2 linked regions of the Schizosaccharomyces pombe genome follow. Changing the gene in region 1 together with any one later gene gives a genetic interaction. Each region holds a gene or a part of one and is shown in the gene's direction. Other genes may lie near its edges.

Region 1 (4,099 bases):
ACTTCTGCTCAAATTCGTCTTCTTCAAAGCCTTCATCCCGTAGAGATGTTGACTTCGTGGAGAACAATTTCTCTACTGCAGAAAACTACCAGTCGCTTCATTAAGCGATCAAAGACATATGCTGATGTACGTTATAACAGTCAAGCATTGCAAAATCATGGAGTTCCTGGTAACAAACGTAAATGGATGAAGAGGTTCGTATTTGTTGGTGCTGCTGGAATAGGTGTCTACGCTTGGGATCGAGTGTATAATGCCCATGCACTTACCCGTAGTATTAGAACAGTATACACCGCTTCTATAATTGCGGCTGACTATAAGTTGAATTTCAGCGAAAAAAAGGCAGACAAAATTGATGCTTTGCACCAAAGAGTAGCACAGAGACTGTTTAAAACGATTTACAAAAATGGCGGTTTATACATCAAGATGGGTCAAATCATTGCTATGCAATCAAATAATTTGCCTGAAGCGTATGGGAAAGCCTTTCAGGGAATGTTTGACAATGCACCTCAAGTTGAATGGGAAGAACTTCAAGACATATTCAAAGAGCAATATGGAAGACCAGTAGAGGAAGTATTTGCCAGCATTGAGAAACGTGCTGCTGCAAGTGCCAGTATTGCGCAGGTACATCGTGCTGTTTTACCTAGCGGTGAAAAGGTCGCGGTAAAAATTCAAAAACCAGATGTTGCTAAGCAAATGTCGTGGGATCTTCTCGTGTACAAATACATGATGTATGTTTATGATAAATGGATATTTCATATCCCTCTCTACTTTACGGTTGATTATGTCTCGGAAAGATTACGTTCTGAGGTTGATTTTACAACTGAAGCTAACAATTCGGAACATGCTCGTGAAGGGGTAGAAGAAACTGATTATTTAAGAGATAAGATATATATACCAAAGGTTTATAAAGAGATTTCTGGAAAGCGAGTAATGGTTACTGAATGGGCTGATGGCATTCCCCTCTATGATCAAACTGCTCTTTCTGAAGCTGGGATGAGCAAAAAGGAAATTTTAACGAACCTTTTCAGATTCCTTGCCTTCCAAATGTTTCATTCGAAACAAGTTCATTGTGATCCACATCCTGGAAATATCCTTGTTCGAAAAAATCAAGCAGGCTTGTGTCAAACGGTAATTTTGGATCATGGGTTATATGTATTTGAATCAGAAAAGTTTAGAAAAGAATTTGCCTTGCTTTTCACTGCAGCCTATTCATTAGACAAAAAATCTATTCTTCAGGTAATGGATGCTTGGGGGATTGGACAACCTGAGCTTTTTGCTAACCGCATGTTAAATATTCCAATGGATGAAGAGCAACCTCACACTGGTGAAAAAATTATTTCAAAGAAAGAGGCCTTCCAACAGCAGCTTGCTGAACGCAAAAAGTTCATTGGCTTCTTACAGGACTGCACTCGTTTACCGAAAGAGCTGTTAATGCTAGGTCGCTGCTTAATGCTTATTCAAAAAAATAACCAAAATTTTGGGTATCCAGTGAATAGTATAGCTGTTATGGCCAAGGTTGCTGATAAATACACTACCGACAAACCTAGTCCAACTTGGTATCAACGGCTGTTGTCGCCTATTTTTTGGGTCTTTCAACATTTATTTTACCCTGGAAATTTTCGGTTGCCTGAACTTACTAATGATAAAAAATGATATTTATAGTAAAGATTACTTTTCTTTATGGAAAGCCAATCTTTGACCATAATAATATAACTTCACATATTGCCTACTTTTCTCGATAAGACACTTCAGAGCTCCTCCTTGTAAAAGTTAAGCTCCTCCCTATACGAGTCAAACTTTGTATCGTTATTCACTATTACAGTACATCAAGCTCGGTATCTTATATGTCAATGAAGTATACTGATAATATAGTGATACTAAACCGAGTGATAAATATATATATATAGTAGATCAGTAAGGTTGAAATCTACCTACCGCATATTTAACCACAATGTCAGACTACGGGTTTGCAAATATTGAGGAAGCTAAGGCAGATGCAATTTTTAAATTAAATGCTCAATACCATCAGGATGAAGATCCCAAGAAGGTTAACATGAGTGTTGGCGCCTATCGTGACGATACTGGTAAGCCTTGGATTTTGCCTGCAGTTAAAAAAGCATCTAAAATAGTGGAAGAACAGGCAAGCTTCAACCATGAATATTTACCAATTGCTGGATTGCCTCGTTTCACTAAGGCTGCGGCTGAAGTTCTTTTCAGACCCAATCCTCATTTATTGTCCGAGGACCGTGTTGCATCTATGCAGTCAGTCTCTGGTACTGGTGCCAATTTTCTTGCTGCTAGTTTCATTGAGACTTTCTATGTAAAGCACACTGGAGCCCATGTATACATCTCCAACCCTACTTGGCCTGTCCATCGCACTTTGTGGGAAAAATTGGGAGTCACTGTAGATACATATCCTTATTGGGATGCCAAGAATAGATCTTTTGATTACGAAGGCATGCTAAGTACCATTAAATCTGCTCCCGAAGGAAGTATATTTTTACTTCATGCTTGTGCTCACAATCCTACTGGTATTGACCCCACTAGGGAACAATGGCTTTCTATATTCGAGAGTCTGCTTTCTCGCAAGCATCTGGTAGTTTTTGACATTGCTTATCAAGGTTTTGCCAGTGGTGATCTGAATCGTGACTCTTGGGCTCTAAACGAGTTTGTCAAATATAACAAGGACTTTTTCGTTTGTCAGTCATTTGCTAAAAATATGGGTCTTTATGGTGAACGTACTGGTTGCATGCATTACGTTGCAAAGGACGCTTCCACTAAAAACAAGGTCTTATCTCAATTGTGTATTGTTCAACGTAACACCATTTCTAACCCTCCCGCTTACGGTGCACGTATTGCTGCCGAAATTCTTAACAGTCCTCAATTGTTTGCTGAATGGGAACAAGATTTAAAGACTATGTCTTCTAGAATCATTGAGATGAGGAAACGTCTTCGCGATTCTCTTGTTGCACTCAAAACCCCCGGTTCTTGGGATCATATTACACAACAAATTGGAATGTTTTCTTTTACCGGTTTAACGCCTGCACAAGTCCAATTTTGCCAGGAGCGGTACCATCTTTATTTCAGTGCAAATGGTCGTATTTCTATGGCTGGTTTGAACAATTCTAATGTAGAGCATGTTGCACAGGCATTTAACCATGCTGTTCGCGAGTTGCCTTAAACTGATTATTAATACCAAAGTCACATAGATAAGTATTGGATTCATGAATACAGAATTTTGGATTGTTGTAAATTTGACGAATTTAGGAACAAATTCTTTAGCAATTTAGAGAACTAGTATATGCATTTATTCTTTGAATTTTTGAATAATATGAAGTTATCTGTTCAACTCATACACCGGGACTTCTCCTTTGTGAGTTAGACATCAGTATTTGGCTCATTATTTGCAAAACAAGTTGATATCAGTTTGTAATCGGATATGTTTAGACAAAACTGAGAAAGAGTTCTTTTTTAATAATTCATAACTTGCAAATTGATTAATGACAGAGTATTTGAATTCTTTGTTATATCGAGGTTTACTACATTAATATAATACAACTTTTAGCAACTATTAGAGCCAATACAAAGAAAAGAAGTCAAAACTTAAGTAATACAATATGAGTATGATTTTCTTTGTTTTACTTCCCTATTGTGTCAACTATAATTTTAAGCAGGAAATTTTGAAAATATCCTAATAACTCGAAAACCAGGCTAAAGCAAGGAATATCCCTCTTTGCATAAATTTTATTTCTTCTCGTGTCTTTCCTCCAATAATTAATAATTATAACATCTCTAAATGTGTATGAGTTAGTTTGTTAGGACATTTTGACTCAATAATTCTTCTCGATAAATTTAATAAAGAAAGTTGAATTCACATACCTGAATTTAATATACAATCATGGGGAATTTACATACGTCAATAGCTGTAGCATCTATTTGCTTAACCAGCGCCTTTCTTGGTTGTGTTTTTGGTTTGGGATTTTTCGTATGGATTATATACGGATATAGTATTGGAGGTTTTTTTGCATTTCTGAGTCTTTTTCATCTATTAGAGTTTTACATTACTGCTCGTTTTCAAGGTAGTCAGTTATCATGGGAT
Region 2 (5,522 bases), 2.9 Mb from region 1:
GTGCGAAGCGATCCTAGAGCACTAACGACGAAGAGGAACATGAGAGCGGAGGTTTTGCAGATACGATGGCATTATGATGCTAATGATGATCACACACCTATTTATTCAGTTGATTTTCAAAAGAACAGTCTTAATAAATTTGCTACATGTGGAGGAGACAGTAAAATCAGGGTAATGATTTGACATAAAACTATTTTTGCTTCAACTATTGTTTGTTGTAGTTTAAAAAAAAGAAAGAAAATTCCTTCAATTATACTAATATCCAGATATGGCAATTGATCACTTCGGAATCATCCACAAAAGTCGAATATTTGTCTACGTTAAGTCGACACACGCAAGCAGTGAACGTCGTTCGTTTCAATCCAGAAGGTATTCGCTAATAATTTTTTCCAATGCTCACATTAAAATAGGAAATATTCTTGCTACCGCCGGAGATGAAGGAACTATTATGTTATGGGTTCCAACTAACACTCCTATAACAACTTTGGCTGATGATGCGGAAGAGTTGGCTCTAGCTAAAGAATATTGGAAGGTCAAAATAGTTTGTAGGTCGATGGGTTCAGAAATATATGATTTATGCTGGTCGGTTGACAGTAATTTTCTTATTGCCGGCGCCATGGATAATAGTCTTCGGTTGTACGATGCTCACACAGGTATGAATTGGCAGTTGTTGTTATTGGCAATATTTTTTTTTAAATTAAAATTACTGACTAAGAAGGGCAACTGCTTACTCAAAAATTCGACCATTCACATTACGTTCAAGGGGTATGTTGGGATCCTTTGAATCAATACATCGTTTCGGAAAGTAGTGATCGTTCTATATGTTTATACGAAATTCAAGAGGAAAAAAAGAATCCGAAAAAATTCCAACTCGTTTTAAAATCGCGCATCTGTCGTATTGAGTATAATGTAACTAAATTCGAATTAATATCTGTTACGAAGCCCTTAAATAATGATGAATCATCGGGGATATCAGAACCTATCGAAACTTCTAATAATAATGAGTCTCCCGTATCTAAGCACGAAGCTCTCTCATCAACTGCAAACATAGTCAAAGATGGAAGCTTAGAGCGAACAGAGCCTCCAAATTCTCTCAATTCAAAAATCAGTTACTCTTTGTACTGCAATGAAACTCTTGTTTCTTTTTTTCGTCGTCCAGCATTCTCCCCTGACGGATTACTACTAGTTACGCCTGCTGGTCGGCTTCGACCGCACGGTCAACCAAACTTTGAAGTTCCCTATACTGCTTATATTTATACAAGAGGGAGTATAACCAAACAGCCAGTAGCTTGTCTTAATGGATTCAAAAAACCAGTTATTGCGGTTCGTTTTTCTCCAATTCATTATGAATTGAACTCATTCTCTAACTTCTCTTTTACTTCTGTCTCTTTTAATCTTCCTTATCGAATGGTATTTGCTGTGGCATGTCAAGATGCTGTTTATATTTATGATACGCAAACTTGCAAACCATTTTATCGTGCAGTAAATTTACATTACTCTAACCTTACAGACATAGCTTGGAATGATGATGGAAATGTTTTGTTAATGACTTCTATAGATGGTTTTTGTTCTGTAATTACCTTTGAACCTGGAGAATTGGGTGTCAAAAGTCAACACAAAATTTCTTTGCCGGAGAAACGATCAGCTTCACCCTCTAGTATTGATGATTCACAAGACAATACGGCTGGGGGACCAGCTACTACAACACTAATTCCCAGAAAAGTTGAATCTTCAAAAGTATCAAAGAAGCGTATTGCACCTACCCCCGTTTATCCATAATTTCATGTTTATGAAAAAAGTTCTACTTCGACAATACGCTTTGATTTTTGGAGTAAAAATCTCGTACTTCTTGTTTTGTACTAGTAACTTTAAAGAACCTTTTATTTTTTTAAAAAAAAAAAAGAAGGCAAAACTGTACATTCTACTTTGGATGTAATCATTCGGTAATTTGCTTAGATATAAGCACAATTAAATTCATTACAATTGTTAAGATAAATATATAAAAAGCAAATAATACTTCTAATCGTTTGTACTTTTTGTCTACTTAAGACTATAAAACTAATATGTAACTTTTCTGTAAGTATAAAATACGTATTGAGGAACCCTCTTACACATAACATCACCACCATTCTATAGGAATTGCATCTTATACATTACTCATTGCATAGATTAAATTGCTAATAATCTACTTTTATTAAAAAAAGATTTAATCAGCTCATTTTCACGCTAGTTTTCCAAATTTACTGAAGTCTCATATTTTTTGCAAATATCTTCAAGTTTTGTTCATGAATGGTCGCCATTAACGACTCTACGGATTCTTCGTTTTTTAAAGAAAATCCTAAAATATTTAAGGATGAGCATGAGTTGTTGAGGTATATCGTTCCTTTCAAAAATTGGGTAATTGGAAGACCCGACAGAAAAGAATATGCAATTCGCAATGGAGCTCCAAAGCTGTTGCTTAATTTATTTTCCTTAGAAAATTTATCCATGAATGAAAAATATCAAGTTTTTGTTGTTTTAAACTCCTTGATGAGTGAGGACCAGGACCCTTTCGTTCAATTTTTACGACACGAGGATCTTCTTTCCGTTATGCAAATGATTTCGAAAAGGGATAGTACACCATATGGAATGCTGAATATCACCCTTAAAGTTTTTAACACAATGCTGAGTTTTGACAAAGCAGCAGAATATGTCACTCAGTTACATTCGGACTCTATAATTAATCAAATGTTTGACTTGTATACTTTACCCTTGAAAGAACAACCTTCTCTTGATGTGTTGCGTATCTCAAATTTATCTTCTAAGATTTTGCATCGTCTTATCCTTTATAACTCTAAAGTTGGAGACTCTCCACGATTCTGTTCTGCTTTATTTCAAATCACTAACAGAGCTACCCAATTGCGCTTGTATTCCAGAAGAAGATTTTGGAATGATTGCTCTATCTTAATTACTAACTCCCTGGGTACTTTGAATGCTTATTTAAAACAGCATGTGAAGTCTTATAAACAAAGAGAGAAAACCCGGCTAGAATCAAATGGTCACGTTTCGCCTCGCGATATGGATTTAGATGAAATTGAAAATGTTTTTGAGGGAAACAAGGATAAGGTCGCCTTATTTAAATCAGAGATATTTGGGCCTAATGGTGATGAATATATTACTCAGTTATTCTGTCTCGTTAGACAGTTTGATCCTTGTATTCGCTTGCTCTCAATTTCTTGTTTAGTGACCCTATACAAGGCAGGCATCCTTTCTAAAAATCAAACTAAGGAGATTCAAATGATAGTAACTCCCATTCTCATCCGTTTATTTTTTGAATCTCGAGAAGCAAAACAAATCGCTCCTCGTATTCTCGCCATCATAATCAATGAAAACGAAATTATGCAAAAGACGGCTGTAAATGCAGGTTTTATTGATGCTGCCAAATATCTTCTAGAATACGCAACTAAAGAAGAAGAGAATGAAATTAATTTTTTATCCGATGAATTGCAATCCAGCGTTTGTTTTAATCTTCCTGCTACCAAAAAGGAGCAAAAAAACCTAATCTTAGAATCAGTTTTGCTAGCCGTTGCTGCATTAACAACTTCTAAAGATGAATACAGAAAACTAATAGTTGATGCTAAATATTTGCCTGTTATCATTAATGCTTTGAAAATCAATTCTAACAGCGTGAAAAAGGCTGCTTGTGAATGCTTATTAAGTCTCTCGAGAAGCGTTTACATTTTACGTACGGGCCTTGCCGATGCAGACGTGAGCGAACCATTAATAAAGTTGCTTTCTGACCCGGATACTAGAGTCAAATCGACTGCTACGTCTGCCATTTGTAACTTGGTACTTAAGTTTTCTCCTTTGAGAGAGAAATTCCTTACTACAAATTTCATTGATACTTTGATATCAAATATTAGTACGAAAGATAGCAGTCTAAGAAAGAAGACCGTGTGGGTTCTGCGGCATGTTGTATTTGGTGATGATGAGACGATCCAGCTTGAACCTTTAAAAAAGATCGGTGCTTCAAAGCTTGTGGAACTTTGCAATGACGAAGATCTGGGGGTCCAAGAGCAAATGTTGCAAGTGCTGCGAAATTTTACATGTCAGAAAGAAGAAAGCGTGGATTTTCTTTTGAAAATGGTTCCTATGGAGTTGTTAGCAAAAATTTTGCTTGAAAAATTAGAAAGTAAAAATCCTATCCTAATTGAACCCAGTATTTACATTTTGGTGCACATCGCTGCCAGCGATGGTGAGCTTAGGGATTCTATCCTAAGGCAAACCAAACTACTACTATTGGTGAAGGAAATTATGCTACAAGAAGCACAACGTCTCAAGCCCGAGCAAATGTCCACAAATGTGTCATCTCCGGAAAGTGACAGTGAAATGGATTTGCAAGAAGATGATTTTGATAGGGAAATGCGTCCTCCTTTCGATATTTATGAAGAGGACACTTATGAACCAAACTCCGAAATTCTGTTGGCCGGAATTTGGCTCTGTATTAACATTCTATGGCCCAAACAATGTACATCTCCAAGCCAGGAAGATAAGGAAAGAGCAAGTATCTTACAAAATCTCGGATTTGGAGAATGTTTGCAGATGCTACAAAATCACTCATCTCCTGATGTAAGGGAACGTGTCAAAGATGCCTTGATGTACATCAATGTAACCGATTAATTTCTATTACGCTTTTCCGTTGTCTTTGCCGACTTGATTGGAACAGTCTAACAAATCGGAGCCATTTTCGCATTTAGTATTTCTGTATGTATAAATGTGTGCACAACTCTTGCAGCTGAAGTTAACAGGTTGTTGGATTGAAGTACTTTGAGAATGATCGTATATAAAAAGATTTAATGATTTATCAAAACGAATAAAATAAGTATTATGAACATTCAACTTATATGTATGCGGGATAGTGTAAAAACCTATTTAACATTGTAAAAATTTTTTAAGGAAAGTTGTACTTTGACAAGAACAATTTCATTTACATGTATTCTACTAAATTTATCAGAATGTTGGGAATTTTTTTGTTGGTATATAATGCCGAAAGGAAATTAATCGAATATGAAGAAAGTGGCGGAACTAAAAAACAAAACCCACAAACTAATTATTTAAATAAATATAACATAATAACTTGTTAAAATAAGAGTAATACTAGAGAATGTGTGCTCAAGTGGAAAGCATGTAATACTTGCACAACGTGATGGAAGAGATTAGTGTAGTAGCGCAGCGACAGCTTCCAACAACCAACTAATCGAGGAGGAAAGCAAAAGTGAGAATTGAAAAGAAGTAGTACATTAAAGACCTTTAAATTCTTTGAAAGAATTGCCTTTATAAAGGTAGTCTATTGCATTTCAAAGTACTCTCAAGATGAATTTAGAATTTTCTTTTGGAAATTTGATCGCCAAAAATACCGAGAATTCGACTAAGGAAGAAGGAACTTGGGAAGTAAACAAGCTCATGAAATTTAGTTCAGAGGAGGGGAGGTCTTCCTCTGATGATTATATGTTTTCCTCTCCCGATTTTGAAAAAGCCGGAAA

What was found.
Region 2: mutations in caa1 (region 1) and gid5 together harm fitness more than expected from each alone (negative genetic interaction), as found in Schizosaccharomyces pombe (one large-scale study listed by BioGRID).

What each region holds. Positions count from the first base shown.
Region 1 is NC_003424.3:1,229,870-1,233,968, reverse strand, and holds caa1 (aspartate aminotransferase), read left to right. Parts: upstream 1-1,929; 5' UTR 1,930-1,951; coding exon 1,952-3,181; 3' UTR 3,182-3,329; downstream 3,330-4,099. Other genes in the region: SPOM_SPAC10F6.14C (ABC1 kinase family protein), read left to right, coding at 46-1,653; protein-S isoprenylcysteine O-methyltransferase Mam4, read left to right, coding at 3,899-4,099. UniProt on the Schizosaccharomyces pombe protein: Plays a key role in amino acid metabolism.
Region 2 is NC_003424.3:4,119,860-4,125,381, forward strand, and holds gid5 (protein Gid5), read left to right. Parts: upstream 1-2,113; 5' UTR 2,114-2,289; coding exon 2,290-4,659; 3' UTR 4,660-4,878; downstream 4,879-5,522. Other genes in the region: CAF assembly factor complex subunit B Pcf2, read left to right, coding at 40-171, 267-369, 411-653, 719-1,779; mga2 (IPT/TIG ankyrin repeat-containing transcription regulator), read left to right, coding at 5,353-5,522. UniProt on the Schizosaccharomyces pombe protein: Component of the GID E3 ligase complex recruiting N termini and catalyzing ubiquitination of proteins targeted for degradation.